Macaca fascicularis: one gene and its partner. The protein of the gene in region 1 interacts with the protein of each later gene in a pairwise test. Links are inferred from orthologs where the notes say so. Each region holds a gene or a part of one and is shown on either strand. Other genes may lie near its edges. The genes, in order: IRF9 and IRF1.

The links.
Region 2: the proteins of IRF9 (region 1) and IRF1 interact in a two-hybrid assay, tested with the Homo sapiens proteins (2 studies listed by BioGRID and IntAct). The link is inferred for Macaca fascicularis from reciprocal best matches to the Homo sapiens genes IRF9 and IRF1.

Annotation. Positions count from the first base shown.
Region 1 is NC_088381.1:91,979,477-91,982,887, reverse strand, and holds the end of IRF9 (interferon regulatory factor 9), read right to left. Parts: intron 3,317-3,411; coding exon 3,245-3,316; intron 2,766-3,244; coding exon 2,424-2,765; intron 2,323-2,423; coding exon 2,196-2,322; intron 1,535-2,195; coding exon 1,419-1,534; intron 1,260-1,418; coding exon 1,126-1,259; 3' UTR 512-1,125; downstream 1-511.
Region 2 is NC_088380.1:139,012,341-139,015,267, forward strand, and holds part of IRF1 (interferon regulatory factor 1), read right to left. Parts: coding exon 2,887-2,927; intron 2,062-2,886; coding exon 1,885-2,061; intron 1,774-1,884; coding exon 1,724-1,773; intron 1,616-1,723; coding exon 1,486-1,615; intron 1,303-1,485; coding exon 1,180-1,302; intron 636-1,179; coding exon 586-635; intron 1-585. UniProt on the Homo sapiens protein: Transcriptional regulator which displays a remarkable functional diversity in the regulation of cellular responses.

The DNA of each region.
Region 1 (3,411 bases):
TGCTGGGGTGACGGTGAAATTTGTGCTGGAGGAAGAGGTGCCAGTAACAACAGGTACAGGTTTAGCAACTCTTCGCTCTGACTCCTCTGTTCTCAGGCCCCAGGGCCTCTAGACCATAGTTTCAGGTCACCTTCAAGTGTCTCCTCTTCATTTAGACCTCCAGTCTAACCTCAGGCCCGATGTTGAGGCCTTCTAGCAAGAACTATGAAGCCCAGACTTTACCATGTGAAGTTGGTGGCTATAGTGCCTGGCTGAAGGCTTGATGCCCCTTTCGATGGCCTATCCCAACCCACTCCCTAATCTTGTCTGCCCAGAGGGTACCTCTGTAGAGTGCCAGGCCCAGGACCCACAGGGCCCAGATAGCATATTAGCCAGAACCTGTGGGCAGAGGAGAGGAAAAAGGCTGGAGATGTCAGCAGGAAGAGAACCCCAGTGCCCCACTCTTAAGTTTACATCTCTATCTGTGACCACTGCTACCTTCTTCTCCCAGAAAATCAGATACTGATTCCTCTTTCAATAAAATTTTATTTTAAATCCTTAGTGAATATCTAAGAGGAAAATATAAAGTGCTTGTCTTTTTTTTTTTTTTTTTTGAGATGGAGTCTCGCTCTGTCGCCCAGGCTGGAGTGCAGTGGCCGGATCTCAGCTCACTGCAAACTCCGCCTCCCAGGTTCACGCCATTCTCCTGCCTCAGCCTCCTGAGTAGCTGGGACTACAGACGCCCACCACCTCGCCCGGCTATTTTTTTGTATTTTTTAGTAGAGACGGGGTTTCGCCATGTTAGCCAGGATGGTCTCGATCTCCTGACCTCGTGATCCGCCCGTCTTGGCCTCCCAAAGTGCTGGGATTACAGGCGTGAGCCACCGCGCCCGGCAGTGCTTGTCTTTAGAGTTGGGAGGTCAGGGAAGAGGGAGAGGCCCCCTGGGTTCACACCATTTGGAATTTCCCAGTCCCTTACAGATGAAAGAGGGTGTATATGTCAAAATTAAAAAAAAAAAAAGGAAAAAAAATTAGCCTTGAGTGCTCCACCAGCCAGTGTGTGCGAGGATTTTCAGGATACAATTATCACAGACAACTATTGAGACTTATCACAAAGAGGACAGGTCAATCGTGTGAAGAATGAGTCTATTTCAAAGGAGACAGGAAGAACAAAGAGGTGAGGTGGAAGATGGGTACCCCACGCTCTACACCAGGGACAGAATGGCTGCCTGCTGCTCTGGAGTCTCCTCCAGCAAGTATCGGGCAAAGGCCTGCTCCATCTGTATTGGAAGAGATGGAGAAGAGTGTCTTAGTGAGTGCATCAGGGACAGACACCACCCCCAGGAGCTCCTTCCCCACTAGGAAACCCCCTTTGCCTCCTGAAGTACCACTGCCCCCGCTCTCATTAGATGGGTACTCTGCCCCTGCTCTGAGCTCACCTTCACTGTGATAAGATTCTGTGGAGTATGGCTGGGGCCACGGCTCTCTTCCCAGAAATTCAGTGTTACTTGGAACTTCGGTGGGGGGCCTAGGCCCTGGAAGTACTTGGCCAAGTCTGAAAGAGAAAGGGTCAAGGGTTGGAAGAATTTCAAAAAGAAGAGAGGGCCACAGGCAGGGAGGCAATAGTGAGAAACCCATGATGGAGAGAGGTAGGAGGGGGTCCTGCCACAGCAGGAGCTGCAAGGTCAGAAGTACTTGGAACTAAATGCTACTCACCCGTGTGCAAATAGGGAAAGGGTGGCCCTGCCTCAAATAAGTGCTTAGAAGTAGATCACTGCACAGCTGAAAAAGCTCTCTGCTGGGAGAGTTTAGAGTCCTCCCGGGCAGCAGCCCTGGCTGCTAACACAGATGTGCCCAGACCTTTGCTGCTTGCTCACACCCTTCCAGTGCTAGGGTACCCATGGTGCTGGGAACACCCACACTCTGCACCCGTGTACACCTGGTCCCACTCTTAAGGTCAGGTTTAGAATTGAGTAGGAGCTGGAATTGGATGGGAGAGAAGCGCAACCCTAAGGCATGCCTGGACTGTAGTAGAGACAGTGCAGCCAGGGCCAGAGTGTGTGATGTGTGCCAGCTCTCCCAAATCTGTGTATATAGGAGAAGGCCATGAAGCTCAAAATCTCTGTGCCAATTCTTCTGTGCACCTTCACATAGTGACTGCATGCTTCACTGTGATGGTGTTCTTTAAGATACGACACTCTTGTGCTGGGCTCTACCTGAACCACCTCTTCCATTGTCTTGGCTGGAGGAGAGCTGCCAGGTAGCTGCCAGGCTGGGCATATGACCACACAGGATGTGCACCACACAAGTGCAGGAGTGCCATGCATAGGCTACATGGAGGATCTGCTGGCAGATAGGGAAGTGGCAGGACCCACCAAGTTGGGCCCAGGGGGTACTAAGAGGTAGGGGGTGGGAGCTCAGGTGCCCAGAGAGAGCAGCCTCACCTCTGCGGAAGCAGGCGGTTCTGAAGAGCTCCACACACTCGTTGCTGGGCAGCAGATGTGGGCCTGGCCCAGGTGGAGCCTGGGGTGCATTCCAGGAGATGGGGATGGGGCAAAGGCGCTGCACGAAGAGGCCTCGGGGGTTGCTGGCCACCAGGATGCCCCTCTCAAGCTGGCTCAGCAGGCGCTGCGTGGGCTCCAGTGGGCCAGGCTTGGGGAACAGCACCTGCTCCATGCTGCTCTCAGAGCCTGAGGGCTCAGCCACAAGGCGGCAATCCAGGCTTTGCACCTGGGCCTCGCCCACCACACGCCCGTTGTAGATGAAGGTGAGCAGCAGTGAGTAGTCTGGGGAATAGAACAGCCCTACTTGGTGCTGGAGGAGCATGCAGGCTGGCAGCAGCCCCTCCCCAGGGGAATAGCTCCACCTTCCCTCCCTGCACCAGCCAGGGGACTTCTTCTCAGGTTTTCCTGTCACTTAGGCAAGTAGCTAGTATGTGATTGACCATGAGGCCTCAGGGTTTAATGACCAGGGGCTTGTAGTTTACTAGAAGGTCCCTTGAGATTGGGCCTCTGTTTGGCCCAATGAAATCAACGTCTCAATGTAGATTTCCAGGAGAGTGTATAGGGTGATATTTTTGGGAAGCAAGCTTTTTGGAGTCTGGCCAGGCATGTGGAATTCTCGCCACCTAGAAACCAGTGCCTTGGGCTATGGTAATGTGGGCACAGTTTGCTGTAAGCCCTGACTGACTAGATAATGCATGCACAGTCAAAGGTGGAAGACCTCGGGGCACAGGGCACAGGAGAAAGTCAGAAATGCCATGTACCTGGCTCTGGAGGAAGCAGAAACTCCAGGGACCTCTGATCCCCTTGAAAGGGGGCCTCAGTTGTGTCTGTACCTGGAAGGGAAGCAAAGGCACTGGTCATTCAGAGTGGGACTGGGGAGTCTTGGGCCAGAGGGTGTGGCATGGGGGACAACACAAGAGGCAGGGCA
Region 2 (2,927 bases), on another chromosome or scaffold:
TGTATTTTTAGTAGAGATGGGTTTCACCATGTTAGTCAGGCTGGTCTCGAACCCTTGACCTCAGGTGATCCACCCGCCTTGGCCTTCCAAAGTGCTGGGATTACAGGTGTGAGCCACCGCCCCCGGCTGCAAAAACTTCTTTATATTCACTTTTAAAACTGAAGCAGAAAAAAAAACCTGGAGGATAATTTGCTAACTTTTTCTATAAAGCAATCATATTAATGGATCCTAAAGGCTGATTATTGAAACCTGATGTGCATTTCCCAAACTAGCAGGGCTGGGGCATGTTGGGGCAGAGGGTGCAGGCCAGGGACCCATCGCTGATAGTGCCTGACTCACAGAGCTGTCTGATGCCCCCAGGCTTGCTTCAGGATGGCCTGTCGGAGGCCAGGCCTCCCACCTGCCTTCCCTACCCATGGTGGCTTTCCCACCAGTCAAGCCACGTGAATGTGGCACTTGTGGGATGATGCAAGCAGCCAGGTGACAATAGCAGCTGCCCATCCTCTGATTTGGAAGCTTCACTGGTTCTCTCTCCTCACTGAGAAACGGTCACTTCAAGAGTGCCCAGGTAGGAAGGGGCTTTACCTTCATGATGTCCTCAGGTAATTTCCCTTCCTCATCCTCATCTGTTGCAGCTGTGGATGGAGAAAGCAGAGAGGTTGGCTGGCAGTCAGCCACACTCGCCCTGCAGTTCCAGTTCCAGCCCACCAGATCCCCTGCCCTTTCTGTCTCTCTCTCTCTGACACACACACACACACACAGACACACACACACACACCCCTCCCAGTGGACCTGCCTGCCATGGAGATTCCAGAACAGGACACCGGCCTGGTGACTCAGCCTCTCAAACCCTGAAGCCACGCCTCTTCCCACCCCCACCCCACTTCCTTCCTCACCCTCAGATGCTGGGCTGCAGAGGAGGAAGGAGAAACAGCACCCCAAAATACAGCCCCTGGCCCCCTTCCCTCCTCTCACCAGCCCCCACTGTGCTGCAGCCCACTCTGAACTGCCTTCCTAGTGTCCCCGTTGCTTGCCTCCCCCCACGGGGGCTAAGACTGGGCAATGCCCAGCTCAATCAGCTTAGTGCCAGGTGGAGTTCTGAGCGTCTTTTCTCTCTCAGGAAGCCCTTCACAGGACCCAGACAGTCAAGCAGGCAGGCCAGGCCCCAGGAGCACTAACCTTCAGAGGTGGAGGGCATGGGTGACACCTGGAAGTTGTACAGATCACTGGTGCTGTCCGGCACAACTTCCACTGGGATGTGCCAGTCAGGGAGAGTGCTGCTGACAGCACACGGCGACAGTGCTGGGGGACAGCAGAAGCCATGGGTCAAGGCTGTGTGCTTTCTTAGTTTGCAAGACATCGAGCGCCCCCCCACCAACCCTGCAGCCTGCACTAATGGGCCACCATCTGCCAGCACCATGCCTCCAAGAGAAAGAGCTATCCCACTGACTTGTGGGGTCCCCTGCCAGACCTGCACCAGCTCACCTGGAGTCAGGGCCCGCTCCACCTCCAAGTCCTGCATGTAGCCCGGAGCTGTGTAGCTGCTGTGGTCATCAGGCAGAGTGGAGCTGCTGAGTCCATCAGAGAAGGTATCAGGGCTGGAATCCCCACATGACTGTCAAGGGAGAAAGCAGCTTAGGCCCAGGCCCACCTTAGCATTTCTTCCACTGCTCACCCTGGCCCACAGGTGACCAAAGGCCTGGCTGCTTAGGACCATACTCACCTTCCTCTTGGCCTTGCTCTTAGCATCTCGGCTGGACTTCGACTTTCTTTCTGTGGAGCAGATAGGCTGTCAGCCTTGGTGCAGGCTCGCCAGACCCAGCTGACCTTCTTCTACCCTCCCTCCCTGAGGGTGCTTCCCAAGGACCCAGAGTCCTTGGATACCTTTTCTCTGGTTCTTGGTGAGAGGTGGAAGCATCCTGTACACTCGCACAGCTGAGCTGCCCTTGTTCCTGCTCTGGTCCTTCACCTCCTCAATATCTGGCAGGGAGTTCATGGCACAGCGAAAGTTGGCCTTCCACGTCTTGGGATCTGGTTCCTTTTCCCCTGCTTTGTATCGGCCTAGAGGACAGGAGAAAAAAGAGGATCGTCAGGGCCACAGGTAGGGATCCTCAGCTGCCCCTGGCCTGGTGGAGGAAGGTAAGGGTACCCCTGAGCTCTCATGCAACCAGACAGCCACAGTGGTCAAACTAGCAGGTACTCCAGTGACACTCTGCAGGTCCTAGGCCCTGGACCTTCTCAAATGCCGAGGCTTGGCTTAAACACATCTAGCGGGCCTCAGTGAAGGGCCCAGGTAGAAGCACTAGAGTCCCCATATCCCCAAAGTGGACTATCTGTGTCCCAGACCATGCCCAGTCTTCCTCCTTGGGCTATCAGCAGCCACAAGGTGGGCTGGGGCTTATCTGATATTTCCAAACATGGGAGTGGGCACAGACTGGGCAGCAGAGAACAGTAACTAATGGGTGGGCTGACTGTTCTGAGATGGGCCTAGAGCTCCATCTTTCAAGGATAAAGGAGGCTACCAACCACACGAGCCTTGGACCAAGGGCCTTGGTCAACATGAAGGCAGACCTGGCTCTCTTTCAGTGCCCTGGCTTACAGCTGCTTTTCACAGATGCTTTTGCCAGGGAAAACTCTCATCTAGCCACAACCCCCCTGAAGCCACACACTTTCTAAGATCTTGGCTTTAGAAATCCCTTTGAGAATTTGCTGAAATGATGGACTCTCTTCTCCAGAAACACTAGTCTGCCACCAGCCCCTGTTCCCAGTAATTCTGCATATTGTCTCAGGGAGCTCAGGGACCCCAGTGAAGAGCCTCTGTGTTAACGTTAGTGCCTCCTCTTGTCTCTACCCTGGCCTTCCTAGGCCTGAGTCCCAGGCACACACCTGTGTGAATGGCCCAGCTCCGGAACAAACAGGCATCCTTG